Linked DNA regions of Oryctolagus cuniculus. The protein of the gene in region 4 interacts with the protein of the main gene of each other region in a biochemical or structural test. Links are inferred from orthologs where the notes say so. Each region holds a gene or a part of one and is shown on either strand. Other genes may lie near its edges.

Region 1 (4,091 bases), on a different chromosome or scaffold from region 4:
CCGAGGGCTGGTGGCCTTGGTCAGACTGGCCCGGTGCCTGCTGCGGTGAGGGGCACAGGGACCCCCGCAGGCAGTGGTGGCCACCAGCAGGCCCTCTGCTCAATGTGCCGGAGAAGGTGAAGGCGCGGCAGCTGTCGGCAGGATGGATGTGCTGGCGGCGGGGGACCGCAGGCCTGCTGGGGCTCACTTCGCTGTGGAGAGACAGCCCGGTGCTGCCTGGCACCCTGCCAGCCTGCACCCGCCGCCGCGCAAAGTGCCAGCCCAGCAGTTTGCTGGGGACCGGGAGCGTCCAGAGGATGTGCGTGGAGGTGGGGACGCGGCTCCAGCCCGTCAGAGCCGGGCAGCGTGGACCCCGAGACTGCCCCCGGCCACGTCGGTACTGGCTGTGAGCTCGCACAGGCTGGGCCTTGCGCAGGCCCATCCTGTCCCCAAGCATTGTGTGGTGTCCCCGAGGCCAGAGCTGACCCAGGCCGGGTCGCAGGAAGCTAGCTAACCCTGTCACCCTGCTAAGGGCAGCCATCCCCTTCTCCCTGTCCCGGGCATGGTGGCCTGGAGCCTGGACAGGACCTGGGGCTCCGTGCAGCACCTCAGGGGCCACCACTGTGCTCCCAGCCCAGGGCTGGGTTCCAGGCTGTCCTGCAGGTGGGCCGGCCAGCAGTGGGGCGGGAGCGGGTCCCACCCGGGCATCTGCACCTCCTGATGGCAGCGCCTGGCTGGACCTGCCTAGAGGGCAGCTGAGCCTGCTGGAGAGGCCCTGGGTGGAGCCTGGCACCGCCACAGGTCTGAAGGGGGGGGGGGGCGCTGAGGAGACCCTGCGCTGGGCGCCAGTCGCTCCCTGCCAGAGGCCCAGGCCCCTCTGGACCTCGGGGTGGGCAGGTGCCAGTCTGCAGGTGTGCAGTGGCCTCTGCCCCCACCCTGGCGGGGCCGGGGGTCTCAGGTCCCACGTTGCTTTGGCTGAACTTAAGACGAGGGCTGTAGCCCAGGCACGGCGAGCACTGTGGGTCCCCATGGGCCTGCCTGGCCGGACGCAGAGGCAGAGGTGTCCCTCGGCCTGCTCCTGGCCCCCGTGGAGGGGTCTGTGTGCTGAGGGCAGCCCCCTCACCGACACTGGGGGTGGGGGCCCTGTGTGTGCCGTGTGGCGCAGGACCGAGATGGATTTCTGGGGCGCGCGCGGGTGCTCATCAGTCTCCCCGCTCGCTCAGCGTCCTGGGGAGCGGCAGCTGGTGGGATGGCAGGCACTCCATCAGGGGCCGACAGCTCCAGACTGGCGTGCAGGCGGGTGGGCACGGCGCCGGGCGGCCCGGGACGGGGGGGCTGTGCAGCCCCCAGAGCCCGCTCCGCTCGCCCCCTGGAGCCCCTGCCTGCCCCCACCTGCCCAGAGGGGGTGCCTGTGGTGGGCTGGAGCCTCTTCCCTGAGGGTCGCCCTTTGCTCCTGCCAGAGGCCCCGGTGGCCCCAGCCTGGCGGGGCGGGGTGGGGGCTGCCTCCAGGCTCTCCCAGGGGGGTCCTGGGTGGGGAGGGCGGCTGGCCCCAGGACCCTGCATACAACCCCTCCCAGCTGTGGGGGGCACCCTCATGAGGGGGCAGAACCTTGTCCTTCCCCCAAAGCAGCCCCCGCCGCACCTGAGCGACCGCCCCCTGCATTGTGGGGTGGGGCCTGTTAGCTGGCCTGCCCCCCTGGGCATCGGGGTGTGGCCTTACTCCACTGCTCTGGTCCTGCTGGTGGGCTGGCTGGAATCAGGCCCACCCCAGTCCAGGCACAGTAAGCACCCAGGGGTGCTTGGGGGGGCCTCTTAGAGCCCTGGGCTGTGAGGGGGGTGGCTGGGGTGCAGGTCCCAGCCCAGCCCGGGGCTTCCGGGTCCCATCTGCAAGTGTGTCCAGGACCAGGGTGCAGAGTGGCAGCTGCCGGGCACCTGGGGAGGGAGGGCCACTGCCCTGAGTGCCTTGCCCAGGGGACGCCTGCCGACCCGTGTCCTCTGAGCTCCTCTGGGGGTGGCCTGTCCCTGTGTCGTCCCCAGCTCTCAGCCCACAGTGAAGCAGCTGCCTAATTAGCAACTTCCCTGTCGTTCAGACTCTGTGCTCGGCAAAATGTAAATGAGGCGTTTTCTCGGGTGTCAGTGTGAAAAATGGCGCAGCGCGGCTCCACGGAGCATCTGCCGTGTCCCCGAGCGCCGCGGTACTGGGGGAGTCGGCCCCCGCGCCTGGACCAGGGGCTGTCCCAGGGTGGGCGGCAGCTCTGCCCTCGGCCCCAGGACTGTGCTGCTGGCCCTTCCTTGCCAGTGCCAGGCTCTGTCCTCTTGGCTGGAGGCCGGCTCAGGCCAGCAGCCACACCCTGGAGCCTGGGTGCCCGGCCAGTGCCTGAGCTGGGCACCAGCTGACCTACTGCCTCCCCCTCCAGGAAGGCCAGGTAGGTGGGCCCAGGCCTCCTCCCCGTGTCCCAGGTGTGCAGGTGGGCCTGGCCCCTTTCCGGCGCAGCGAGCCTGCCTTCCCGTCCCCCACCCTCTGCCTGGCGTAGCTGGCCAGCGACCTGGACAGGGGCCCTCACCGCCTGTGTCCTCACAGGGGAGTACATCAAGACCTGGCGGCCACGCTACTTCCTCCTCAAGACTGATGGCACCTTCATCGGCTACAAGGAGCGGCCACAGGACGTGGAGCAGCGCGAGTCCCCACTCAACAACTTCTCTGTGGCACGTAAGTGTCCCCTCGGCCACTCCGGGTTGGACGTGGGGCGGTGCCTGGAGTGGTCCGTGCCCTGTGGGACTGGGGGCCAGCCCTGGCTGGCGGGGGCCTGGGCCAAGCTGCATGGCTGTCCTGTGGAGCTGTTCCCTGAGCCTCCTGCCCAGAGGGGACAGCTCGGGCTATAGGGAGCCTCCAGGCTCTCCCAGGGGGGTCCTGGGTGGGGAGGGCTGCTGGCCCTAGGACCCTGCATACAACCCCTCCCAGCTGTGGGGGGCACCCTCAAAGCTGGCCAGTGCCACTTTTTCCCCTGCCTGGCTCCCCAGTTGTCCCTCCCACGATGCTGGCTGGGGCCGGGCAGGTCCACTGCCACTTTCTACCACCTGGCAGCCCAGCTCTGCCCTGGGGCTGGCCTGGGGCAGCTGGGGGCGATGGGCCTGCCAGCCGTGGGCCTCTGGGTTCTGCCCCTCCCTCTCCTTGGCCAGCACCCTGGGGTCCTCTGGCCCCTGGCCTTCAAGGGCCACCCAGGTTCTGGTTTGGGGGCTGCAGGGAGGTCTGGCACAGGTGGCTCGACCTGGGCGTCGCCCTGCCTGTGGGCATCTGCGTGGGGATGGGCTGCGGCACTGGCTGCTGGGTCATCCCTCCCGGGGCCCACTCTGTGCTAGAGGAGGGGCCTGGCCGTGGGGATTCCCGTGAGCCCCAAATGCCACCCTCCCCGGCCTCAGGCCCAGCTTCCTGGGCCGGAGGCCACCAAGGAGGCGCAGGCCAGTTCCCTGGAAGCCTTGCTATGCCCGCTGTGGGGGTGAGGCAGGAGGGGCCTCTGCAGAGGAGCCCATGGGGGCAGCGCCAGCCGGGGGCAGGGGGCGCTGCCTGGCCAGGGCGAGAGCCAGCGTGTGTGTGCGGAGGGCCTGTGTCCAGGGGCTCTGCCTTGTGGGAGGACCGAGTGAGCTTCCTGCCCGCACAGACACAGGCCGCCTCCCACCAGGCTGGGCCCCGGGCCCCCACGCAGCCCCTCGCCCGGCAGACCTGGCCCTCGTGGTTGCCAGGGTGCTGGTGCTGGAATGCACACGCTCCCCGGCTGTGGGCGTGCGTGCTACAGGCACACGTGTGGCAGGCGTGCGTGTTCCAGGGGCGTGTACTGTAGGTGTGCGTGTTCCAGGCGCGTGTACTGTAGATGTGCATGTTCTAGGCGTGTGTACTGTAGGTGTGCGTGTTCCAGGGGCGTGTACTGTAGGTGTGCGTGTTCCAGGCGCGTGTACTGTAGGTGTGCATGTTCTAGGCGTGTGTACTGTAGGTGTGCGTGTTCCAGGCGTGTGTACTGGACTTCCGGTCAGGGTCTCCCAGCGACAACTCGGGGGCCGAGGAGATGGAGGTGTCCCTGGCGTGCATGTTCCAGGCGTGTGTACTATAGGTGTGT
Region 2 (4,091 bases), on a different chromosome or scaffold from region 4:
CCCAAGTCCTTGGTCTCCTGCACCCATGTGGGAGACCTGGAAGAAGCTCCTGGCTCCTGGCTTCAGATCGGCACAGTTCCAGCCTTTGTGGCCATCTGGGGAGTGAACTAGTGGATGGAAGACCTCTTTCTATCTCTCTCTCTCTGCCTCTCTGTAACTCTGACTTTCAAATAAATAAATAAACCTTAACAAAAAAACTGAAGGTGTTTATGATCAAGATGAAACAATTCTACTTGGGAAAGAGAAGTGTTTATGTATACAAAAGAAACAACACGGTGACTCCTGGCAGTAAACCTTACAAAACCAGAGGAATCTGGAGAAAGGTAACCTGTGCTCAAGGAAACAGTGGCGTGATTCATGACAAATTCCAAAGCAACCTTCCTGTGAAGGCCATTGGACACAGAATCCCTATTTATTTGAAATGCAGGAGCAATAGAAAAAGAGACACAGAGGCAGAGACAGAGATTCTATCTTTCATCCACTGGTTCACTCCCCAAATGGTTGCAACACCCAGGGCTAGGCCAAGCTACAACTAGGAGCCATGAACTCTCTTGGTCCCCACTGTGTGGGTGGCAGGAGCACAAGTACTTTGGCCACCTCTCTCTGTTTCAAATAAAAATGAAAACAAATGATAGTAATTCAGTGAGAAAGGAATACTAAATCAAATGATTATGGCCAGAGCTTGATAATTATTATTTTTGGGTGATAGATTTGCAAAAATTCATTTTAATATCTCCTTTTATATGTTTTAAATTTTTCATAATAAAGGTTTTAAAGATAATCTTCCATTAACCCCTGCTTTATGCCAGATTTACCAACTAGTAGAGAAAATAATTTATTTTTACCAGGTTTTTGCAAAGCAGAGAAACTGGGTATAAAATTTTAAAACTAGGAGCCGGTACTGTGGCACAGCAGGTTAACGCCCTGGCCTGAAGCACTGGGATCTCATATGGGCGCTGATTCAATACCTGGCTGCTCCACTTCCCATCTATCTCTCTGCTATGGCCTGGGAAAGCAGTAAGAAGATGGCCCAAGTCCTTGGGCTCCTGCACCCATGTGGGAGATTTGGGCGAAGTCCTGCTCCTGGCTTCAGAATGGTGTAGCTCCGGCCATTGCAGCTATCTGGGGAGTGAACCATCGGATGGAAGACCTCTCCTTCTCTCTCTGCCTCTCCTTTCTCTGTGTAACTCTTTCAAATAAATAAATAAATCTTAAAAAAATTTTAAAACTAAAATACTTGCATCCTCACAGGGCAGAAAGATGATCCTCTGCAGAAGCAATTATTTGAAAGATTCAGTTGCATCATTCTAGAGAAAGAACCGAGTACAGCAGCTCCCCTGCACACCACCACAGCTTCACTGTCTACAGCACCACTGCCTGCAGTGAACCACGGTCCGAATATACTGCATGGCCTATTCCAGAAATCAACAGCTTTAAGCTGACCATGGTTCCAAGGAGCATGATGGCACCTCGCACTGTCCTGCAGGGAGATGGGACTCCTACCTTTTTGAGAACACCCACACAACAGATGCTGCCTGCCCCCTAATCTCTCAGCAGCCTTGATCGCGCTTCAGCATCACAGTACTTGTGTTATTTTATACAATAATCATCCCAAAGCTCTACAGTCATGATGCTGGCAATGTGGATTTACCCAAAAGAAGCCTTGAAAAAAGAAAAGTTCTCCACTAATGGAAAAAATCCCATGTTGAGATTGTTCAAAATCTAAGGTAAGAATGCAATTTCTATCCATAAATCTGTGAATGAAAAATAACATTCAGGCCAGTCTTGTCGTTAACACCTCAACCAGCAAAATTATTGGAAAAACGGATGCTAAGTGCTTAATTAAAAAATAGAAGGCATTAAGTTAGCGAATGTACAGGAAAACACTAATCAGTAAATAAGAATGGAGCACATGGTTTCAGGCAGTCACTGGGGTCCAGGACAGTATATCCTGCAGACAAGAGAGGACCACTGTATTATTAGTGCTAGTGTTCACTTTTTATTTATTTTTTTTTATTTTATTTTTTTTTGACAGGCAGAGTGGACAGTGAGAGAGAGAGACAGAGAGAAAAGTCTTCCTTTGCCATTGGTTCACCCTCCAATGGCTGCCGCGGCCAGCGCACTGCAGCTGGCGCACCGCGCTGATCCGAAGGCAGGAGCCAGGTACTTCTCCTGGTCTCCCATGGGGTGCAGGGCCCAAGCACTTGGGTCATCCTCCACTGCACTCCCTGGCCACAGCAGAGAGCTGGCCTGGAAGAGGGGCAACCGGGACAGAATCCGGCGCCCAGACCGGGACTAGAATCTGGTGTGCCAGTGCCGCAAGGCGGAGGATTAGCCTAGCGAGCCGCGGCGCCGACCTAGTGTTCACTTTTTTAAGACTTTTTTTTTTTTTTTTTTTTTTTTTTTGAGAGGTTGAGTTACAGAAGGAGAAAGGGAGACACAAAAAACTGTCCTCCACCCTCTAGTTCACTCCCCAAATGGCCATAATGGCTGCAACTGAGCCGAGACGAAGCCAGGGTACCAGGAGCTTCATCTGGGCCTCACATGAGAGTGCAGGGCCCAAGCACTTGGGTCATCCTCCCCTGCTTTCCCAGGCCATAAACAGAGAGCTGGAGCAGAAGACGTGCAGCTGGCACATGCACAGGTGCTCATGTGGAATGCCGGTACTGCAGGCAGAGGCTCAGCCTTCTATGACACAGTGCCAGCCCTTAGTTTTCACCGTACACATACAGCACTCAAGTGCAACCTGGAGATGTCAACACAAACAGAGCATTTTTCCATTTATTGCCTCAACAAATGTTCCAACCCTACAAGGTGCTTCTTGGTCCCTGGAGCATGTACAGAGCTAGCCCTTGGGCACTGACTTTAAAGCACAAAGAAGTGTTGTTTTTATGCTTCTATCTCTGCAAACAAAGTTCACCACAATGAATGGAAAAAAGATCAATAATTCATTCAAAAACCACATCAAGTTGCTGTAACAGTTTTCTTTTCAAGTTTCTAACATGCCACTATACAAAAAAACACCAAAAAGTCCTTCCAAACCACCTAGGGGCACCACTTTCTAACACTTCCCAAAATCCCAAGGGCTTTGTGCTGACAGGGATGTAAGAGCAAACATGAGTATTTAGGGGCCTGAACAATCCTGTTTTTTAAAGGAAAAAAATTATAAGTCATCAACAATTAAGAAAAGGATACGTATTCCATTCATGCCTGAAATCTTGAAGTCATCGATGAGCTGGACCACCATGTCTTTGTTTGGGTCACTGGGATCACTTTCTCGAACCTGTGCAGACACAATCAAATCCAAGAACAGAGGAGTTCAAGACAGAGAATATTTTGCATTGCAGTAATAAAGGTGATTTTGTTTTAAGTTCAGTATTTGAACTTAGGAAAAAGAAATTCTACTTTAATTTAGTACCAGCCAGAAATTAACTTTTTAAAGATTTTTTTCAGTCATTAATTTCTGTTACAACATTCACATTTTTGCAGTACTTACACATTTGAGCAATTTTATTTCATCCAAGGCTGTTTCTGTATAATGCTGGGCACTTTTTACAACTTTCATAGCAACAAATCTTTTCCCCCTTGGAAAAAGAAAAAATGTATTTACCTATATTATCAAGAGAAGAAGTGACATTACACTGAGATGTTGCAAAGATAAATTAACAAGCTTTCTTTAAAACAGTACTTTTCAAATTGAGTGGGCACTAGAGACAATGAGGTCCATGGGTCAACACAATTCTTTCATGCTTTGCTGTCCTCTCTAATTAATGAAGACTATAAAAATACTAGTGTTACCACACACACTTAGAGTAATGGAAAATATTCTGACACTTCTACTTCTCTTCAAATACACAGAAAACTAGCTGGCGCTGCGGCTCACTAGGCTAATCCTCCACTTTGCAGCACCGGCACACCAGGTTCTAGTCCTGGTCAGGGCGCCGGATTCTGTCCCGGTTGCCCCTCTTCCAGGCCAGCTCTCTGCTGTGGCCAGGGAGTGAGTGCAGTGGAGGATGGCCCAAGTGCTTGGGCCCTGCACCCCATGGGAGACCAGGAGAAGCACCTGGCTCCTGCCATCAGATCAGCGTGGT
Region 3 (4,623 bases), on a different chromosome or scaffold from region 4:
CCCGCCTGAGCCCACCCGCCGCCCGTCGCCCACGCTGCACCTACCCGGTGGATGATCCCTGCAGAGTGGATGTACTGCGGGGAGGGAGGTGGTGAGCATTGGCCATGTGCCCAGGGACCCCCACCTCCAGCCCAGGCCCTAAGACCCCGCCTGCAGCCCAGGCCCTAAGACCCCCACCTCCAGTCCAGGCCCTAAGACCCCGCCTACAGCCCAGGCCCTAAGACCCCCACCTCCAGTCCAGGCCCTAAGACCCTGCCTGCAGCCCAGGCCCTAAGACCCCCACCTCCAGCCCAGGCCCTAAGACCCCGCCTGCAGCCCAGGCCCTAAGACCCCCACCTCCAGTCCAGGCCCTAAGACCCCACCTCCAGCCCAGGCCCTAAGACCCCGCCTGCAGCCCAGGCCCTAAGACCACCACCTCCAGCCCAGGCCCTAAGACCCCCACCTCCAGTCCAGGCCCTAAGACCCCACCTCCAGCCCAGGCCCTAAGACCCCGCCTGCAGCCCAGGCCCTAAGACCACCACCTCCAGCCCAGGCCCTAAGACCCCACCTCCAGCCCAGGCCCTAAGACCCCACCTCTAGCCCACGCCCAGAGACCCCCACCTTCAGCCCACGCAGCAGCTGGTATACCAGGAACTGGACGTGTTCGTCACTCAGCGCCTGGCACTTGACGATGTTGTTCAGGTCTGCGCCCATCAGGGTGGTCACCAAGTACCTGGGGCAAGGTAGGGGGTCAGGGGTCAGGCCGGAGCCCCACTGCCGTGGGCCGAAGGTGCTCCTCTAGCCGCCAGGCACTCACACTTCACTGAAGTCCTCGATGGACGTGGCTGGCGTGAAGACGTCCAGAAGCCCGATGACCTGGGAGGCAGGAAAGCAGCTGGGCAGCATGCGGTGGGCAGGGCTCGGCCCCAGGCCAGAGCCCTCCTCCTGCCAGCCCTCCCTCCCATTGGCCCAGGGCCCGGGGCCCTCCTCCCGCCGGCCCTCCCCCCCACCGGGCTTCCCCACCCCCCCCGCCCTCCCCCCCCCGCCGGCCCTCCCCACCCCCCCCGCCCTCCCCCCCACCCTCCCTCCCACCGGTCCTTCCCCCCACCCTCCCTCCCGCCGGCCCTCCCTCCCGCCGGCCAGCACCCGCTCACGTTCTCATGCTTGAGGTGCTTGAGCAGCCGCAGCTCCCGGTACGTCCTGCGGGCGTGGATCAGCGACTGGAAGGGCCGCGAGAGCTTCTTCACCGCCACCTTCTGCCGCAGCCGGGCGTCGTAGGCTGAGCTGGAAGGCGGGCGAGTGAGGCAGCCTCCCCAGCTCCGCGCCCAACCCCTCCTCGCCCGAGATCCAGAGGAGCCCCTGAGGCTGGGCCCCGGCTCGGGGAGAGGCCTGGGTACTCCCAGGGCAGAGGGTGCCCCCTACCCCGGGACTGGGCAGGTCCAGAAGTGTGTGCTGCATCACTGGCAACCGGAAGTGGACACTGGGAATGCCCAGCGAGGCCGGCCTTGCCCAGCCCCACGCCCCTCCCCTCGGCAGCAGCCCCTCGCCTGGCGGCAGGTGCAGCAGTCTCGGTCACGATCAGGGCTCAGCTGGGAGCAGGTCTGGAGCCCTTTGCACAGCCGGCTCTCTGGCCAATGCGCCCGCCCACGCACCCCTTCCCTTCCCCTCAGAACCCGCCCCGCAGTGAGCCCAGACTTGACTGCCCCCGGTGTGGGACGCTCATGGGTGCCAGTGGCAGAGAAAAATTCACCAGGCCCCCAGTGCCCCCATCACCAGGTTGTGACCCACAGGGGCAAATCCAAGTCACTGCTGGAGAGGAGGTGGCAGATCCTTTGGCCCAACTGCATCTGTGTGGTTAGCTGAGCAACAGGGAATGGGCACCCGCGCAGTCACCTCCTTGGCAGTGGAACTCAGCAAACATGGAGGGTTGGGGTGCAGCCCAGAAAAGCCCAGGTCCCCCTGTGGGGACTTGACACCCCCGGAACTCCCAGATGTGCAGACCCAGCCATGAGTCCACCTGGGTTCCTGCCACAATATCCTCTGGTCACTCACACACGCCGGAAGACGGTGCCCCGGTGCTGGAGTGGCCGAGGTGACCGCCTCAGGCTGCGGGGACAGGCAAAGATCCGCCCAGGTGCGGGCAGCCACGCCCGCCCACCAGTCCCCAGCCTCTCCGGCCCCACTGGGACCCAGCAGCGGCCAGTGACGACCTCGTCGGGTGCCATGGGGGCACCTGGCAGCGTCCACACCTGTGAGCAGCCTGTCTACACAACGCTGGTCTGTCACCGCCCTGTCCGGCTTTCCTGTCCTGGAGCGAAGGCCGCGGCCCAATCGGCACCCCCGCCCCCCACAAGCCGCCGTGGTCTGTTTGGGTTCAGGCTCTGGAACCTGCGCTCTGGGGATCGGGCGTCAGGTCCCCCGCTCAGGATGGAGTCCGAGACTCCTGGGAAAACGAGGAGTGGGCAGGACCCGCAAGGGGCTCCGAGGCCACGCTGCGAGCCTCCGTTTTCAAACAATGGCGCGGGGCGGGGGCGGGGTATCCGCCGGACCCTGAGCCGCGCGACCCCTAACCCAGGAACTGCGAGGGGAGCGCAGACGCCGAGGGCCCCGGGGCGCCCGGCCTCCGCCGGCCGCGCCATCCCGGGACTGGGCGCGGCAGGAAGACGACCCCCGCCCCGCTGGGGGCGGCGTGCGGCGGGCACGCTTCTCGCACGCCCTCACCCCGACGCATCGCCGCGGCCCGCGCAGGGCCCGGGGGCGGGGGCAGGCCGAGGCCCCTCCCCACGCCCGCAGCCCCGAGCGCGCCCCGCGCCCCGCCCCTACCAGACCGAGCCGTAGGCGCCGGAGCCCACCGGGCGCAGCCCCTGCAGCCTCTGCGGCACCTCCCACACCGTCTTGTTCAGCTCCTGCCGGTAGAAGCCGGCGCGGGGCCCCGACATGTCCGGAGCCGGAGCCGCGCGCAGCTGAGGGCGGCGGGGCGCGGGGCGGGGCGCTGGGCGGGGCGCGCGCGGGGCTCCTGGCTGGGGCGGGGGCGCCCGGAGCCGAGCGGAAACCGGGGCGGCGGCGGGATCCGGGCCCGGAGCTCGGGAAGCGCTTCCTCTCGGGACGGAAGGGGGTTGAGGGCCGGGCCTTTGTGGCGCCGGACCACCTGCTGGGGTCTCCCGCGGGCGCGGCCGGTCAGCACCAGGGACAGCGGCGACCCGGGGGGCCTCTGGGGCCAGGGCTCGGGAAGAAGCGGCCCCAGATGAGTCCCCTCGGGTCCCTCGTACTTTTTGCCTCTTCGGGAAGCCCACCCGAACTTCCCCAGACCCTGGGAGCCGCCCCTACCGCCCTGCGCGGCGGTCCCGTGGCCGGCGTCCTCCCGTTAAGCCCCGGCCTCGCGGGCAGTCGCCGCAGGCACGGACAGACGCTGGGTCGGGGGCTTTGGGCGGGACGCCCCCTCCCGGGATGGGAGGAACTTGGGCTCCAGTCGCCCCCTCTTTTTCAAGACGAACCCAGCGGCGCGCGCCGGTGAAGCTGGGGTGCTTGGGACCAGCGTGAAACGCGGAGCGAGCTCCCTGGACCCGCAGCTTCATGCAGACTTCATGGGTCTTGGGACCCTGGCCGGGGTCCAGGGCCTGTCCTGCTGGGGCCCCTAAGGGGTTCGGAGACCCGGGCGGGGAGGGGGACTCAGTGGATGCTTCCCCACCGCCACACGAATCGCTGGTGAGGGTCTGGAACAAGCAGGATGCAGTCTTGGCTCCATTCTCTGGACATGGACAGGTCAGCAGCATTGCTCGTGGCTCCTTCCCATCCTCACCTCTCCCTCCCCCTGCTCACTGGAAATTGGACAGTGACCGGAAGGGCTGGTCACCGCTGGGGCTGAAGGGCATTCTGGCCACCTGGACAAGCCAACATTCACCCCTCGCTGGCACCAGCCAGGCTCCTGGGTCCTGTCACTCCCATCCCTAAGGGGAGGGGTGAGGGTGGAGACCACCTGGGCGTGGATGGCAGGACCTACAGCCTTCCCCTCCCCCTGAGTGTCCCTTGCGTGTGTAGGGGTGTCCTCACAGATGAGCCCCTTCTTTCCTGACTGCCCCGGGGGACAGCAGCAGCAGACCCCTGGAAGCCAGGCCTCCAGGTTCCTGTTTCCCTACAGCCAGTGTTGGGGAGGGGCCCGAGTCACCCCCTTCCAGGAGGGGTTCACAGTCCCCTGACCCCGGCTCCTGGGCTCCCCAGCCGTAAGGGGAGGCCCCAGCGGCGAGACCAGGCCGGAGACCATTCAGACAACGCACACAGGGACAGCGAGTGTCCAGGCCGCTCTGCTTCTTCCTGGGCTCAGCCTGCTTGGGGTTCACAGGAAGCTCCGTGGGGGCAGGGCCCCTCCGTCCCATTGGCTGCAGGCCCAAACTACGTCTTCATCTTGTGGCCCCGCCCCAGGTCCTCGGGGTTACCTACCCCCACCCAGACCCCCACCAGGCAGGAGCAGAGGAGTCCGTCGCCCTCAGAGGTGCAAAGGGTGGTCCTGGGCGAGTCATCCTGGGTAGCTCGTGGGACAAAGCTGACCTCACAGCCCCAAGGCCTTGAGACTCTGGCCCTCTGTCCAGTGGGGCCGGCACACAGCGCGAGGCTTACCAGGCATCTCTCTCGCTCGCTGCTGCCTCA
Region 4 (4,774 bases):
GAGCCACAGGCCTGTCACCTCTCCAGGTGGCCCTGAACTCCAAGGCCACGGGGGTCAGCAGCAGGGGTTCTTCCCAGCTGGGATGAACCCGACCTCTGCTCAATCAAACACACTCCAAGTTTCCTCCCAGCGTCCTAGGGGCATTCATCCCTTTTGTTCCTATCTGGGGAGCAGAGCCTGATACTAGAAACCACTTAAAAGCCACACCCTTCCGTGGTGGGCGTGTGCAGAGAAGGCCTGGGCCAGCAGGGACACACAAGCCACCGACTGTCACTCACCAACACCCAGCAAAGCCAACAAACCCTCCCAAATCATCCAAGGTGAACCCCAAGCCAAGCCAGGCTACTGCCCCAAACACACCTGTTACGGAGGCAAACGCCAGGGGGTGGATTAGCGTCATGAGTGGCTGTGGACCTGGGGGGGGGGGCTTTCCCTCCTCTCCCCCTCCAGCCAGCCACACATTTCTTTCTGTACTCAGAGGGAGGGTTAGAGATGAGGGGCCGGAAATTCATAAAACACAGCTCAGAATCAGCCAAGCGGGAGAGACATTTCTCTTCCACCGTAGTATGGGCGTGGAGGGGGCAGGGTGGGGGAGGGGCCGGCCAGTGTCGCTGTCCCAAGGGGGAGCCAGCACTGGGCCAGGACTTGGAGCTACAGGTTCCTGAGTACCAGGGGGTAAGCGGGGTCTCCCGGGAGGGAAAAGAGCCCCCCGCTGCTGGAGCCGTTAGGGGGCGGGGGTGAGTGTCCCTAGGCACCACCGCGGGGGCTGGGCGCTGCGCATTCCCTCAAGGTCCTGGGGTGACACCATTAAGCCCCCCAAAACGGAGCGAAATCTCGGACCATGGCACCGGGCTAAAGGTGTTGTGCCTGCCGGGCTCCCTCTCCTCCCCAGGGGCTGCAAAGGGCTCCCCCTTTCCCGGGCCGCCCCAGCGCTGCCGAGGGGCGAAGGGCTGGGGGAAAAGGATGCTTGACTCAGTCCGGGGCGGCTCCTGCGGGCGCTCCACCCCAGCCAGGCTGTTCCAAGGAGCGGAACCCGAGAGGCCTGCGCGGACGAGCTGGCCCGACCACGCTCATCGCTCTCGGAGCCCCACGCCCACACCAGTTTCCAGCGCTGGAATAAAGCGGAAAGCCATCACCCGGGAGGTGGCCGCATACCCCCGTCTCACTGCCAAATGCGGCGACGAACTCCGACTCTTAAGTGAAAATCTCGCACTTAGCAATATTAATTAGCCCAGCCAAGATAATAAAATACATCCGGGACGCCTGTCTGGGTGGCTGCGGCCGCCGGGGACTAATTAGAAAGAGCCACAGGTCAGGGACGGGGGACTCCCCAGCGCGCGCATCTCGAGGCCCGCCCTGGGTCCCCAATTTCCGCGGGGAGGGGGCGGGGCGACGCCGCCAGGGTCCGTCACCGGACGCGTGCGGTTCCCATGGCAACTCCCCACTCAGCTAGCTCGGTGGGTCTGGAAAAAAATGGGTGTGGCGGTGGCGCCCGAGGGAACCTCACGCCCCCTCTTGACATTCTCCAGCCTGGCGTAGCAACAGGGCGTAAAGCCGGGAGAGACGCCGGCGGCGAGCGCGCCCCCATCGCCGGACAGCCGCGCGGGCGTGTCCCCCAGGACGCTGGCAGCCTCGGGAGGTGCACGGCGCGCCCAGACCCCGAATCCCACCCCCCTGGGCAGGGAGGGCGCTTCCCCCGCGTGGGGCTGACCTCCGGGAAGGGTGGCGGCTGTTCCACCAGCGCCCCGGAGGCTCGTGACCAGGGCTCATGGACCCCCGGCAAGCACCAAGAGCCGACAAAGGGTGGGAAACGAGGGGGCTAGGAGTCTTGGCTGAACGCCCTCGTGGAATGGAAGAAACCCCCAGACGGGGCCGCGAGCACGGATCACGTAAGCTCTAGGAACAAAGCAGCGAGCTGTCGAAGAAAATTCCGCGTGCTCGACCCCCGCGCTCACTCCCGCAGCATCCAAACGCCGCGATTTCGGGGCTGATGGTGTCCCCCCACCCAAGGCCAGTCCGTGCCCCGTTCCGCGGAGCCCGACCACCCGGCTCGGCTTGGGAACAGAAAGACGTGACAGCCGCAAAAAGATGGCACCTCGCGTTCGGCAGGGAAAAAACGGGGGAGGGGTGGGAGTGGGAGGAGGCACAGCCTGCTCCCCCCTCCGCCGCCCACCCGGGTCCACACCCACTGCCGCAGTGAGGGGCGAGCCCTGCGCGCCAGCCCCGCGCCTCCGGCAGGGAGCGCCCGGCGCAGAGCGAGAGAAAGGGACCCGCCCCGAAAGGCACCTGCAGCCCCCGCGCCCGGCTGTGCAGGGCTGCGGCCGTGCGCGCCCGCGAGCCGGGAGCCGCGGCCCCGCAGTCCGTCCACGTCGCACGGCCCGGGGCCGCCTGCCTCGGAGGGCGTCCCCGCGGGGACCCACGCACCATCTCTCCTCGGGCGCGGCGCTGCCCAAGTCCCCGTGCCAGGCGCGCGCAGGGGGAAGGGCGGCTGGAATGACAGCGCCTGGCCCCCTCCCCATCTCTCGGGTTCCTCCCAGCCCCCAAATGTCCCCTGTGGCTTTCTGAAGGAGGAACGGACGGAGGAGGGGGCGGCGAGGAGGGCGCCGCCGGGGAGGTGCGGGCACGGAGGTGTGCGAGCCATCGTCTTTTCGAGAACCCGATCCGGGTCTTGTTCTCAGCAGACAGCGGCAGAGAAGTCGAATTTGAGGTTCGGTTTCGGGGGTCGTCATTGGACTCCCCCCTACACACACACACGCCCATTGCGGCAAAAGGCTGCGATGGAGGACAGAGCGCAGCCCCCTCCCCCAGGCCACCATCCGCGCCCCACCCTGCGGGCACAGCCTCCGCCCGGGACCCCAGCCACACAAGCGCACGCACACACACGCGCCCCGGTCCACGCCGCCCGGCCCCAGCCCCCGCCGCAGGTGGGCATTAAACTCCGGCTGCGGCGGCTTGCGGAGCGCACGGGAGGCGGGTGTCCGAGTCCCGGCGCTTACCTGGTAGTCGGCAGACGGCGAGGACTGCAGCGGGCAGCCGAGGGAAGGCGGCGGCGCTGGCGGTGTGCAGACGGTGTGCAGCGGCGGCGGCGGCGCTGCTGCTGGTGCCGGAGCCGGTGGGTGGCGGTGGCTGCGAGCGCGCGCGCGCGGGCGAGGGGGCGCGTCCCCGAGCCCGACCGGAGGCGCAGGCGCGAGCCGCGGGGGCACGAGCCACCCCAGGGGCGGGGCGGGCCGCGAGGCCTCCGCGGGCGCCTTCTCCTCCGGCCGCCAGGGGGCGCGCGCGAGCGGCCCGCCCACGGCCCCCGGCTCACTCCTCTCCCGAGTCCCCTCCCCCACGTCTTGGGCCGCGGCGCGGCCAGCCGCGCGCACGCGCGCTCCGTAGCGCACGCGCACTTTAGGCCTCCCGCGGCTGCAGCCTTTGTCTTGTTGGGGGGTCTCCTCCCTCCGGCCCCTAGCTGAACGCGCGCTGCCATGCTGCCCTTTTGGTTTCCATCTGCCCGGGGCGGTGTCCTATGTCGGGAGCCCGCGGCGGGTTTCCGTGCACCTGCGACCTCCGCGCCTCTCCCCCGGGTCCCCCCGAAAGGCGCTCCCGGCTGGAGGTCACCGGCCCCGCTGCCTGTCTCCTTGCTGCTTGTCACCCTTTTTTGTCATTGAACAAGGTCACTTCTTTGCTTCATCGATCCGTGTCGTGGTGCTACTGTTACGGGTTCGTTTTTAAACGAACGGCTGCTCGGATCGCAGCGCAGCCGCGGCTGCAGGTGCAGCTTCCGACGCGGGTCTGCCAGTGCCTGCAGGGCACCGTCGGCCGGGATGGCTCTCGGCAGCCTGAAGCTGACCTGCGGCTGCCCTGGGAGTCCACACATCCCCAGCATCCGAGGAAGCCCCGACGTGGGAGACAGAAAGGGGCAGGGGCGGCCGTCTCACCCTCGCGGACGGGGGCTTGAACTCAGCCTTTCCTTGCATGGCTCCTTTTTTAGACCGATGTATGCTTTTGGATTAATATAAAAAGCAAACAGTGAAAATCCTGTCTTCACACGGGTTTAATTATTATTGGGAGCAGCGGGTAGATGATGGAGCTGGGGCTAACTGAAAAAAAAAATATCATTGATTTTCATTTTTGAGAGGCAGAGAGACAAAGATACTGACTTCCATCTGGTTCTGTACCCAAATTCCTGCAACAGCCAGGGCTGGCCCAGGAGCTTGGACGTCCGTCTGGGTGGCAGGGACCCAGGTAGGTGAGCTGCCCAAGGAGCGTGTGCCCGGCAGGAAGCTGGAAGGTGGAGCAGAGCCCAGGCACTCCTGTGGCCCGCGGCATCCCGCAGTTTCTTGGAGCGAATTTCTCTCTCTCTCTCTCTCTCTCTCTCTTTCTTTCTTAAACAGATTTATTCTATTTATTATTTGATAGGCAGAGTTACAGAGAGAGGTAGAGACAGAGAGAGGTCTTCCATCCACTGGTTCACTCCCCAGATGGCTGCAATGGCTGGAGCTGCACTGATCTGAAGCCAGGAGCCAGGAGCTTCCTCCGGGCCTCTCAGGTGGGCGCAGGAGCCATCCTCCACTGCTATCCCAGGCCATAGCAGAGAGCTGGATTGGAAGAGGAGCAGCTGGGACTAGAACCGGCGCCCAAATGGGATGCCGGTGCCTCAGGTCAGGGCGTTAACCTGCTGCACCACAGCGCAGGCCCCGGAACGAATTTCTGAAGCCACAGGGTCTGAGTTTCTGGCCTTGACTTGTTCTTCCAACCGCCCAGATCCTTGTTCAAGACGCCTCTGTTGGCT
Region 5 (4,091 bases), on a different chromosome or scaffold from region 4:
ATCACTACCTTCTGGGAAAACTGACAAAACCCATAGAATAGACCTCCCTAGGGAAATGTAGTCTACTCTCTCCTAAAGTATACTGATGTCATGGAAAGCAAAATCTGTTAAATAAAATTTTTTATGTAATTAAGGATTTCAGGACCTCCTTTAAAAAACTGATACCTCAATTTAAAAAGCACTTAGCTGGGTTACTAAGTGTAACATATGTGTGAATTTGGTTTAACGAACTAGCCAATCTATTTATTATTCTTATGTATCCATCTCCCAATATACTCTATTTCTTATATTGACATTATTACATTATCTAAAGCTTATCTATGTTTTCATCCACTTCCAAATGGGTGTGAAATTTTCCTACTATGTAGTAGATAATGTGAGCTTTATTAATACATATATAACTAAATGTCTTATTTTGAATCTTCATTGTTTTCTGGATGAGGCTTGTTGATTGTATTTTTGATGCATATAAAATAGCATGAAAAGCACAACGCTGTCTATATCAGCTACTCTGAAAATGTCAAGGCGATTCTTGTCAGTAATATTTTCGGAGTCCAAGTCTTTATACTGTTTGGGACCTGATTCATTGTTGGGTATGATGTTTGATGAGATACATTATAATTTGTGCAAGTTCTACTTGTAAATGCAGGAACATTAAATGGTAGTTTATATGTGTGGGAAACTTATGACTATGAATTTTATTTCTAAACCATATACATGATATGTTGTGTTATCCTCAGTTTCTTTTTGGAAGCAATGAGTGAATAGTTGATAATTCCTATCTGTTGATAGCAGACATTTCTATTGTATGACACCTTATGGGATTTAATCATTTAAAGAACCTTCTAGGTTGTGGGGGTGTGTCACATAGTAGAAATTTACTTTGTCTATTTCAGGTACCTATGGAGTTGTATATAAGGGTAGACACAAAACTACAGGCCAAGTGGTAGCTATGAAGAAAATCAGACTAGAAAGTGAAGAGGAAGGGGTTCCTAGTACTGCAATTCGGGAAATTTCTCTATTAAAAGAACTTCGTCATCCAAATATAGTCAGGTATGGTATATCTGAGTTTAAACCATTTTTCTACACACAATTTTGAATGAATTTCAATGTGAGAATTTTTGCATTTGCTTAATTTTTATCTAAAGTAGAAAAGAGACATTTTTGTTAATTGATAATGCTGTGCATAGGCAAAATACTATTAAAGCAGCAAAAGAGGGGCTGGCATTATGGGATAGTAGATAAAGCCATTTATGATGCCAGTATCCCATATGGGTGCTGGTTTGAGTTCCAGCTGCTGCACTTCCAATCCATCTCCCTGCTAATTCACCTGGGAAGGTAGCAGAAGATGGTCCAAGCGATTGGGCACCTGCCACCCACATGGGAGACCTGGGTGAAGCTCCTGACTTCAGCCCGGCCCCGCACTGGCTGTTGGGGCCATTTGGGAACCAGTAGATGGAAGATTTCTGTCTCTATCTGTAACTCAGCCTTTCAAAGAAATAAATAAATCTTTAAAGCAAACAATAGAGTGAAAGAATTATTAGAGAGGCATGGTAATAAGAATTAGTACTAGGTCCTGAAAAGCAAGGTAAAATAGCAATGGAAGAAAAGAAGCCCTTTTCAGAAAGCTTTAACTCCCAGCCTGGGAGCTCTAGTTTCTGGAGGTGCCTTCATCAGCCCTAAGGCAGGCAGCCAAGTTGGATGAAAAGCAGAAAATGCTTTCCTTTAAGTATTTGAATTGGATGCTTTAGGGAAGCTATGTTGCTAGTGATCTAAGTTAAAATCTAATTTAATTGCATTTTGCTAAGCTGGAGATAGGGAACAGCCCTTAAGGTCAGATAATACTCTAAAATTCCTCTGTATTACTTCAGTGGCAAGACAGCGAGCAACCAACCTAGATATGTTTTTTGAATACAGATTATTTAAGTTAACACCTCCTGTAAAATAAGAATTTTATTATAATTTTTTAAAAAATTTTAGGGGCTAGCATTGTACAGTGTGCTACCACCTGTAATGCCAGCATCCCATATGATAGCCGGTTCAAGTCCCAGTTGCTCCACTTCCAATCCAGCTCTGCTAATGTGCCTGGGAAAGCAGTGGAAGATGGCCCAAGTCCTTGGGCATCTGCACCCACCTGTGATACCTGGATAAAACTTGTGGCTCCTGCTTTGGCCTGGCCCAGCCCTGGCTGTTGGGGCCATCTGGGAAGTGAACCAGTGAATGGAAGATCTCTGTAACTCTGCCTTTCACATAAATATAAAAACAAATATTTTAAAAAAAATTTGGGAGACAGAGAAAAAAGGTGGAGAAGTCTCCCATCTGCTGGTAAACTCTACAAATGCCTGCAAGAACTAAATCAGGAGTTAGGAACACAATTCAGGTCTCCCATGTGGGTGGCAGGAAACCAACTAATTGAGCCGCCACTACTGCCTCCCTGAGGTCTGCCTTGTAGGAAACTAGAATAAGAAACTAGAGCAAGGGGTTGAAAGTGGTTATTCTGGTGTGGATCCTAACCTGGTGGTCACTGCTAGGCCAAATGCTTGCCTGAAGGTTTAATTTTAAATTATTGTCCTGAGATTTCCTTCTCAAATTCTATTTTTGTATTAAGGTTTTCTCTACTTGGGAAGCTACCAATCTCCCCACATTTTGTATGATATTCACTGAGGCTTGCAGTAGTTTTATTTTGTGATAAAAATGCTTGCTGGACTTTTGTTCATGTAATTGTTTTCTTCTTCAGTCTTCAAGATGTGCTTATGCAAGATTCCAGGTTATATCTCATCTTTGAATTCCTTTCCATGGATCTCAAGAAGTACTTGGATTCAATCCCTCCTGGTCAGTTCATGGATTCTTCGCTTGTTAAGGTAAGAGTCTTCCCATAACTTTGAATACTTAGTCTCTGTGAATGTGAAGAGACTACTCTGTAGAGGTCCTCGCGTTTTGCGGGAATTTGCTTAGAGGAAGTGTTAGTAAGTAGAATAATGAAAAAAAAATTGTTTTCCTTCCACAATTTTTATGCTTTATATGTTGACAGCCATTTTGTTACCAAGTGGTGCCTGAGATAACATAACTGTAAAGTATGCGGTTTTGGAAATTAAGTGTAGTCAGCTTTTGGGTTCTAAAATAATATACTTAGATAAGCTATTTCTAAAGGAAGGAGATTTTATTTGGGACTTATGTTCAGTATACGATTCTGGTGTTCTTGCTGGCAGTTCCAGGGTAGCACAGGGCATCACCTAGAAAGAGGGGAGCCCATAAAGCCACCATGATTTGACCATGGGGTTTCCATACTAACAATCCCAATTTTTCCCAAAAAGCTCCATCTTCAGCCACCATAATTGGATTAAATGTTTGTCCTTTTAGTGCCATTTACATGAGGCTTTAGGAACAGACATGAGGATTTAGGGGACAAGTACTATTCAAACTAATATCAAAAGCATAGCGCCATAGTCTTTCTGGTATTGATCAAATATGTGTTTAGCAAAGTAAAAAGTTCAGGATAGGATGAGGATGGAAAGCTGATCTATTTTTTTTAAAGATTTATTTGAAAGGCAGAGTTACACAGAGAGAAGGAGAGGCAGAGAGAGAGAGAGAGGTCTTCATCTGTTGGTTTACTCCCCAACTGGCTGCAGTGGCTGGAGCTGAGCCGATCCAAAGTCAGGAGCCAGGAGCTTCTTCCAGATTTCCCATGTGGATGCAGGGGTCCAAGGTCTTGGGACATCTTCTACTGCTTCCTCAGGCCATAGCAGAGAGCTGGATTGGAAATGGAGCAGCTGGGACTCAAACCGGTGCCCATATGCGATGCTGGCACTGCAGGTGGCAGCTTTACCAATTACACCACAGCACTATCCCCTCTATTTTGTTCTTTGAAAATATTTCAGAGCTGGCACCGCAGCTCACTAGGCTAATTCTCCGCCTTGCGGCGCCGGCACACCAGGTTCTAGTCCCGGTCGGGGCGCTGGATTCTGTCCCAGTTGCCCCTCTTCCAGGCCAGCTCTCTGCTGTGGCCAGGGAGTAAGGTGGAGGATGGCCCAAGTACTTGGGCCCTGCACCCCATGGGAGACCAGGAGAAGTACCTGGCTCCTGCCATTGGA
Region 6 (3,101 bases), on a different chromosome or scaffold from region 4:
AGAGCCCAGACAGCTGCATGGTTTGTCCTGTAAAGGGTCTTTCTCCTGGGGGTCTCCTGTGTAAGATCATCCACCGTGTGCCTTGAGCCTACCTTTCCTCTCACTGGCTGGGCTGTGAAGTTCAGCCCCGGCCCCAGAATGCCTTGCGGCTCAAGGCTGTTGGATGTGGGGGCGTCAGAGGGCTGCAGTGAGGTGCAGCCCTCGCCCTCTTTACCTATGAGGCACAGGAAGGAGAATGCCGTGGCCGCTTGCTGCTTGCTTGCAAACCCCAAGTCCCCTGGAGGCCCCGACTGTTCTGCCAGCTCTCCCACAATTCTGTGAGCTCCTTTCTTTTCTCACCTCATTCTGCTTGAAATGTGTGAGCAGTTCCTGCTTCCTGCATGGAATGCCCAGTGTAAAATGGAGAGATCAGTTCTCACCCTGCAAGATCATGTTGAAGGGTGTGAAGGCATTGGCCTGGATCTGCCAACAAAGCTGGGAGCAGGGGGACTTACCGAAAATGAAGTTGTCGGGCCTGAAGAGGTGACCAAAGGCCCCCGAGCGGACGCTGTCCATGGTCCCGGGCTCCAGATCCACCAGGATGGCCCGAGGCACATACTTGTGAGCTGCAAGGAGAGAGGGGCTCAGTCACACAGGTTACAGTGGGTCAGGGGTGCCCCCGTTCTCCATCCTTCCCTGACCTCAAGAGACGGGACCCAAGGGTGAGCTTGGAGGCACTGGTGAGGCTGAGTATCTACCTTTACCCTCGGCCTCACGAGTGTAACACAGGGATGGGGGGTGGAACAACATGTCCCTGTGGGCAGCTGAGCGCTCCCCAGTCTGTCACAGCAACAGCCCTGGTGCAGCAAGCCCTCGGGTGACGCCCCCCGTGCCCTCTCAGGATGCAGCCAGCCACCCAAGCTTCCTGCCTGCTCTCAGGGCCATCAAACAGCTTGGCGCACTCTGTGGACACCTAGGCTAATGGATAGGAGGGCAGAGATGCTGGAGCCCAGGCTGGGGTGGGGGGTGCTCACAGGAGGCCTCGTTGTAGTAGACGCTGATGCGCTCCAGCTGCAGATCTGAGTCCCCCACATAGTTGCCGCTGGGGTCTATGCCGTGCTCGTCACTGATGACTTCCCAGAACTGCAGGAAAGGAGGTGGGGAGGAAGAGTCAACTGGCGGCCCGTGACCCCCGGCAGGGCCCTCTGAAGCCTCAGAGACCTCAGTACAGAACCAGGGGCTCGGGCCTGAAACCTCCACGAGCCCACCGAGACTCTCTGGATCCAGACCTACTTGCTGGCAAGAGCCCTGGTCAGTCCGTTGGTCTGTGGAAGGGGCTAGCAGTAAACACCACATGGAGAAACTTTTTTGTTTCTCCTTTTCAGATCAGGGAACCGCGGGAGACACGGCGATAGCAGGTTGCAGAGCCACACCCTGTATGTGGCCCCTGTCCAGTGACGGGGCAGTGAAACCGGCACTCCATTGATGACCTCAGCCAAGGGGCCAAGGGGACCTGTGAGGCTGTCCCAGTGAGTGGCCCCCAGACTGCCCCTGTGGAACCTGGCAACTCAGAGCCTCGGACTCTCACTGCCTTCTGCTGCTCACCTTTCCCCGCCTTGGGCCGCCTGGGTTCACAGTCCAGCCCCACCCCTTGCCAGCTGCACAACCTTGGGCAGGTCACAGGGGTTCTCTGCGCCCCATGTCCTTGGCTGTACGCAAGCTCACATGAGCACGTAGCACGGGGCTGGCGCTGTGTGGAAGTGTGAGCCCAGGTATGTGAAGGGCAGGCCTGCCACACTCCAGGGACGCCTCTTTGCTTGAATAGCAAGGTGGCTGCCCCCTCTGACAGGCCATCTCTGGCCCACACACTGCGGCTTCTGGGGTTGTCCATGTCACTCCCCTACTCCCCAGGCCAGAGTGACTGTCAGATAAGTCACTGGGCACGCAGGCCTCAGCGCAGCCAACGGCCTCAGTCACGTCCTGGTGAAAAGGCCACTGCAGGAACCGAGCGCGCTGCCCTGTCTGGCCGTCTCTGACAGTCACAGAAAGCTGTCCTTGGGACAGAGAGGCTGCTTCTCACCGGGTGGAACTTTGTCGTATGCACCCAGGAGCTCTCCAAAGGGATCAGGGAGTAATGGATCTGAAGAGACCGGGCGATGTGATCATGCGATTACCACACAAAGACACTGCAGAGAGGCCTCCCCCTCTGTGCGTTGTTATTACTGCTGAGCTCTCTTCTTCTTGCATGAAGTGTGAGAATTTTCACCTGGGAATGTCACAGAGGCCTTTCAGGCCTGCCCCTGCTGCTTGGCCCCCTGAACCCGCCCGAGAGCCCTCCGAGCAGCTCTTGGCAGCTTGTCTGAGCCAGGGGCCTGGCGCCGCACAGCCCTGGGCACTTCAAAATCCTGGCATCAGGAACACCCACAGTTACCAGTCCCTGGGGAGGGGATGGGCTCAGCCACTGTGCTGCCAGTGCATGAGGGACAGTTCCTGGCGGAGCGTGAAGCGTGGGACTCCTAGGAGGCCGAGGGCTGCAGCCCTGCGCCAGCCACACTGTGGGCAAGAGCCCCCTCTTCCTTGGACCTTAGTCTTCTCAGGAAGACATGATAATGGTGCTCACATGAACATAAGCAGCATAAAGGCCAGGAAAAAAGCAATCAGCAAACGTTGTCTTCATTTCCTTAGAAGGCCTTAGGTGGAGGTGGCGTTGTGGCGTGGAGCTGCCACCTGCAGTGCCAGCAACCCATAGGGGTGCCAATTCGGGTCCCAGCTGCTCCACTTCCGACCCAGCTCCCTGCTGTGGCCTGGCAAGCAGCAGAAGATGGCCCAAGTGCTTGGGTCCCTGCACCCACGTGGGAGATCCTGCATCCTGGGTTTGGCCGTGACCAGCCCTGGTGATTGTGGCCATCTGGGGAGTGAACCAGAGGATGGAAGATCTCTCTCTCTCTCCCTCTCTGTAACTCTGACTTTAAAATAAATAAATATTTAAATAAAAGGCCCTAGGTACTATTTAAAGTTTAAAGGCACATGTACAGACAGATTAAGCAAAATGGGCTGGAAGAATAAAAAACAAAACCAAACCGTGTTCCTGCTCAGAGAGAGGAATTTTAAACTCCAGGTTT
Region 7 (4,136 bases), on a different chromosome or scaffold from region 4:
AAATACACAAGGCTTGGGGTAGGGGGAGTCGGCGCTGTGGCTCAGTAGGTTAATCCTTCGCCTGCAGTGCTGGCATCCCATATGGGCACCGGTTTGAGTCCCGGCTGCTCTACTTCCGATCCAGCTCTCTGCTATGGCCTGAGAAAGCAGTGGAGGGTGGCCCTAGTGCTCAGGCCCCTGCGCCCATGTGGGAGACCCGGATGCAGGCTCCTGGCTCCCGCCTGGCTCAACTTTGGCAGTGGTGGGCATTTTGGGGAGTGACCCAGTGGATGGAAAGCTCTCTGTGTCTGTCACTCTTTCCAGTAGTGCATCTTAAAAAAAAAAAAAAAAAAGGAGGCTGAGCCCCATGGGAGGAATCACGCGGAGACCCAGCAGCTGCTGTGGAGGTGGTGAATTTTATTAAGGGGGGGCGTCCACCGGGGCGGGGAGGCGGGGCGCGCGGGGCGGGGGCGGCCCGCGAGGCGCTCACTGGTTCTCGATGGGCGCCGCCGCGGGCGCCTTGCTGGGCATGGCGGCCTGCAGCTTCTCCACCAGCCCGGCCCACTGGCGCTGCATGTCTTCCACCAGCGGCTCGAACCAGCTCTTGAGGCGGGCCTGGAAGGCCTCGGCCTGCAGGCGCATCTGCGCGGCCTGCTCCTCCACCTTCACCCGCACCTCCTCCACCTGCTCGCGCACCTCGTCCAGGCGGTCGCGCGCGCGGCTGCCCACCTCCTCCAGGTGCCCGCGCAGCCGCTCGCCCCAGGCCTGCGCGCGCTCCCGCAGCGGCTGGCCGGCCAGGGTGCTCACGGTGGCGGCCCGCAGGCGGCCCTGCTCCAACAGCGGCCCGAGGCGCTCGCGGATGGCGCTCACGCCGCGCTCGGCGCCTTCGCGGGCCCCGGCGCCGTACACCGCCATGCGCTTCTGCAGGTCCTCGGCGTCGCGCAGCAGCCGCTTGCGCAGCTTGCGCAGGTGCGAGGAGAAGCGCGCGCGCAGCTCCTCGGTGCTCTGGCCCAGCATGGCCTGCGCCTCGCCGCGGTACTGCGCCAGGCGGTTGCAGACGTCCTCCATGTCGGCCTCCAGGCGCGCCTGCGCAGCCTGCAGCTCCTTGGACACGCGCGCCCGCGTCTCCTGCGCCATGGGGCTCAGCTGCTCCTCCAGCTCCGACTTGTAGGCCTTCACCTCCTTCATGGTTTCTTCCATCAGCATCCTGCGGGGCCCAGGGGGCGGGAGGGCGGGCGTGAGCTGGGGAGCCAGGGCTGGGTGCACGCTGGCAGCGACCAAGGGGCCCCAAGGACCAAGCGAGGCCCAGAGGAGCCGGCGAGGAGGAGGGGGCTTGGGAAGGTGCGAGACAGCCGGAGAGGTCAAACCGGAGTCAGGAGTGGGAAGAGGACGCAGGAGCAGGGCCCCCGACCCCAAGGACGCAAAGGCATCTAGACTGGCCGAGGGTGCAGAGGCGCCCCCCGCCGCCCCCCAGGAGGCTCCTGGTCAGGGCGGGGACACTCACGTCAGTTCCTGGGTGACCTGCGAGCTGAGCAGCTCCTCCTGCACCTGATCAGACAGCGACTGTACCCAGCGCAGGTAATCCCAGAAGCGGCCCAGGGCCAGCTCCCAGGGCTGGCCGGCCTTCCACCTGGCCTGCTCCGGCACCTCCACCTCCTGCTCCGTCTCGGCCCGGCATCCTGTGCGGGAGCAAAGTGGTCAGGGGCCGTGCGGGGTTCGGGCCGCGGGGGCAGAAGCGGGTGGGGTCTCCGCTCAGTCGGCAAACACTGATGGGCCTTGTGTGCATTAGGAACTTCAACGCCCATTTTATGGGTGGGGAAAGCCGAGGCCCGGGGGAGAAACAGCGGCTCAGAACCGCAGCAGGCCTCAGAGGTCTCAGCTCGGCGCGCCTCCTCCCCAGGACAGGGGGCTGGAGTGCGGGCAGGGGCCGCGCAGCAGGGGAACCCGAGAAAGCCCCGCCCCCATACCTGCCAGGATCGCCGCCGCCAACACAGCCCACCACACCTTCATCTTCCCGCCTGCGGTTGGTCAGTCTTGGGAGGAAGAAACTGTCAATCAACAGCGGAGGAGGACGGTCCCCTCCCCCCCGCCCCGGAGCCCAGCTCCGGCTGCGCCCGGGCCCAGGATCCCCAAGCCTCGCCCTGGCCCCTGTCTGTGACAGCCTTAGTCCGATCACAATCATTTCACCAAGCCGCCCCTGGGGGGCTGCACAGCTCCCGCATTGTCTGCTCCAGTCTCCCCATCCTCCGGCCGGCTCCGGGGCCAGAATTCCATCTCCCTCTCCCAGGGGTCGAATTCCACTCCCCCAGCCCCCCCACCCCCGAGCTTTCTGGCTCCAGGCTGGGCTTCTTGAGTTCCATGTCGCATTCCTCGTCCCGCCGTCACATTCTAAGCTCCAACCTCACGTCTAAGCCCTACTTGCCATGTAGGAGCTGATTGAACCACGGTTTTTAACAAGTCGGTCTTGGGACGTAGTCCCTGTTTCCCGAGACCCCAGTTGCGGAGATGGGGTGCCGGGAAGGACAAATAAGTGGCAGCAACCGCCCCAGGGCTCGCTGTGGCTCCAGCTGCTGCCCCACCCCAGCCCCAGCCAGGATGGGATGTCCCTGCCTGAGGTCCAAGCCCTGCTTCCAGCCTCAGCCCTGCTCGGCCGTCCTTCTGTCCCGACGCAGGCACAGGCCACCACGTTCTCTCCCACAGCCCGTCCCCAAGTCGCTCCCTTGCCCTTGGACCCCCCCTTTCCCTGGAGGCCCCTCAGCCCCCCGCTGTGCTGCTCACCGCCTCCTGCGGAACCTCGCCTGCACCTCGGCTGGGGCAGAGCAGGGCGGCAGGGATCCCTGACGGGTCCAATTATAGGGCTCCCCCTGCCCCGCCCCTCCCCGGGGCCAGGGCGGGCTGGGCCAGCCCCCAGTCACGAGGTGGGCTGTTCTCCCCCCTCGCACACAGCAGGGCGAGGAAGGAGGTGGGGCTTGGAGGCCCCGTGACCCCCGCCCCCAGCCCCTAGGAAGGGAGGGGCGCCTCCCTCGGTGTCCCACGTCCTCTCCACTGGGGTGCAGGCGGGGACTGGGCCGGCTGCTGCTCCAGCACGCCTTCCCTGTGCCCGGCTGGAACTTCTGGGTTCTGGGAATGGATGGGGCTTAGGACCCCCACCCCCCAGGGCCTGAATGAAGTCGGAGTGGAGTCTGGACTCCCGGCTTAAGTTAGGGCACAGCAGGAGCCCAGGCAGGGCTGGGGGCAGCGTGATGAAGGCCAGCGTCCCACGGTCAGGGTTTCTGTTCCAATTCCCTCCCAGGCGGTGCAGGTGCGAGCCTCTGGGACCCCCCCCCTTGTTTACTGAGATCGCAGCACCTGGCTGGCAGAGGTGGTGGGCCCGCCCGCCAGGAGTCACCCACACGTCCTCTTCCTTGCAGTTTGCAGGACTGTTGGGGCTTGCATCCTGGCACTGCGCGCTGCCAGCTGTGTGACCTTGGACAAATGACCTCCCCTCTCTGAACGGCCAGTTCTTTGCCTGCACAACCAGGCAAGCAGCGGCATGCGCCCCGCAGGTTTGGTGATGCAGGAGTGAACGGCGCGTGCCGAGGCCAGCGCCCTGCACACGGTGGGCCCACACCTGGGCAGCCTAGCGCGCTCCAGCAGTCACCTTCCCATGGGCTCCTGCCCCCAGCTGTCCCAGGGACTCAAGGCCCAGGGCTGGGTTGGGGGCAAAGCCGCAGCAGGCACTGGCAGTCGGCCCTGTTTCTCAAGGCGCAGGGGAGGCGGCCTCCCCAGGTAACTCGGGGACATCACCCAGCAGCCTCCTCGCCAGGCCTCGGGGCGCGGGTTGGCCAAGTGCTGACAGCGCCTCCTGCGAGGCGAGCGGGGCCGCACCCCTGCACCGGGACTGTGTCGCTCCAGCCCCAGATGCAGCAGTCCCAGTAGCTCTGCTTGAGGCTCCAAAATTCCAGACCCGCCTCTTCTGGAAATCTGCGGAGGCCGGGGGCCCAGTTCCCTGCCCCGTCTGCACGCAGCCATCCGCTGCCTCAGTTTGCAAGGACAAAGTCCCCCAGGCTGCGGCTACCCTGCCCTCCCGGGATGTCCCCCTGCAGAGCGGACGTCGGGGAGGCTGGGGGAGCACCGCCAAGCCCCTCCCCGGAGGGCTCCTGCGGCCAGGACCGGGC

The links.
Region 1: of the proteins of MAPT (region 4) and AKT1, one has a biochemical effect on the other in vitro, tested with the Homo sapiens proteins (3 studies listed by BioGRID and IntAct). The link is inferred for Oryctolagus cuniculus from reciprocal best matches to the Homo sapiens genes MAPT and AKT1.
Region 2: of the proteins of MAPT (region 4) and SRPK2, one has a biochemical effect on the other in vitro, tested with the Homo sapiens proteins (2 studies listed by BioGRID, with this or other methods). The link is inferred for Oryctolagus cuniculus from reciprocal best matches to the Homo sapiens genes MAPT and SRPK2.
Region 3: of the proteins of MAPT (region 4) and MAPK11, one has a biochemical effect on the other in vitro, tested with the Homo sapiens proteins (2 studies listed by BioGRID). The link is inferred for Oryctolagus cuniculus from reciprocal best matches to the Homo sapiens genes MAPT and MAPK11.
Region 5: of the proteins of MAPT (region 4) and CDK1, one has a biochemical effect on the other in vitro, tested with the Homo sapiens proteins (2 studies listed by BioGRID). The link is inferred for Oryctolagus cuniculus from reciprocal best matches to the Homo sapiens genes MAPT and CDK1.
Region 6: the proteins of MAPT (region 4) and TUBB3 form a complex in vitro, tested with the Homo sapiens proteins (3 studies listed by BioGRID, with this or other methods). The link is inferred for Oryctolagus cuniculus from reciprocal best matches to the Homo sapiens genes MAPT and TUBB3.
Region 7: the proteins of MAPT (region 4) and APOE form a complex in vitro, tested with the Homo sapiens proteins (2 studies listed by BioGRID, with this or other methods). The link is inferred for Oryctolagus cuniculus from reciprocal best matches to the Homo sapiens genes MAPT and APOE.

Annotation. Positions count from the first base shown.
Region 1 is NC_091451.1:46,976,233-46,980,323, reverse strand, and holds part of AKT1 (RAC-alpha serine/threonine-protein kinase), read left to right. Parts: intron 1-2,560; coding exon 2,561-2,689; intron 2,690-4,091. UniProt on the Homo sapiens protein: AKT1 is one of 3 closely related serine/threonine-protein kinases (AKT1, AKT2 and AKT3) called the AKT kinase, and which regulate many processes including metabolism, proliferation, cell survival, growth and angiogenesis.
Region 2 is NC_091434.1:139,290,157-139,294,247, reverse strand, and holds part of SRPK2 (SRSF protein kinase 2), read right to left. Parts: intron 3,585-4,091; coding exon 3,497-3,584; intron 3,284-3,496; coding exon 3,196-3,283; intron 1-3,195. UniProt on the Homo sapiens protein: Serine/arginine-rich protein-specific kinase which specifically phosphorylates its substrates at serine residues located in regions rich in arginine/serine dipeptides, known as RS domains and is involved in the phosphorylation of SR splicing factors and the regulation of splicing.
Region 3 is NC_091442.1:123,217,505-123,222,127, forward strand, and holds the start of MAPK11 (mitogen-activated protein kinase 11), read right to left. Parts: upstream 2,986-4,623; 5' UTR 2,919-2,985; coding exon 2,803-2,918; intron 1,264-2,802; coding exon 1,134-1,263; intron 856-1,133; coding exon 797-855; intron 713-796; coding exon 601-712; intron 75-600; coding exon 45-74; intron 1-44. UniProt on the Homo sapiens protein: Serine/threonine kinase which acts as an essential component of the MAP kinase signal transduction pathway.
Region 4 is NC_091448.1:17,309,705-17,314,478, forward strand, and holds the start of MAPT (microtubule-associated protein tau), read right to left. Parts: upstream 3,172-4,774; 5' UTR 2,997-3,171; intron 1-2,996. UniProt on the Homo sapiens protein: Promotes microtubule assembly and stability, and might be involved in the establishment and maintenance of neuronal polarity.
Region 5 is NC_091446.1:53,166,642-53,170,732, forward strand, and holds part of CDK1 (cyclin-dependent kinase 1), read left to right. Parts: intron 1-896; coding exon 897-1,053; intron 1,054-2,737; coding exon 2,738-2,861; intron 2,862-4,091. UniProt on the Homo sapiens protein: Plays a key role in the control of the eukaryotic cell cycle by modulating the centrosome cycle as well as mitotic onset; promotes G2-M transition via association with multiple interphase cyclins.
Region 6 is NC_091449.1:69,472,240-69,475,340, reverse strand, and holds part of TUBB3 (tubulin beta-3 chain), read right to left. Parts: intron 1,123-3,101; coding exon 1,014-1,122; intron 606-1,013; coding exon 495-605; intron 1-494. UniProt on the Homo sapiens protein: Tubulin is the major constituent of microtubules, protein filaments consisting of alpha- and beta-tubulin heterodimers. Microtubules grow by the addition of GTP-tubulin dimers to the microtubule end, where a stabilizing cap forms.
Region 7 is NC_091449.1:11,763,898-11,768,033, forward strand, and holds APOE (apolipoprotein E), read right to left. Parts: upstream 2,801-4,136; 5' UTR 2,758-2,800; intron 2,028-2,757; 5' UTR 1,990-2,027; coding exon 1,947-1,989; intron 1,659-1,946; coding exon 1,484-1,658; intron 1,187-1,483; coding exon 466-1,186; 3' UTR 377-465; downstream 1-376. UniProt on the Homo sapiens protein: APOE is an apolipoprotein, a protein associating with lipid particles, that mainly functions in lipoprotein-mediated lipid transport between organs via the plasma and interstitial fluids.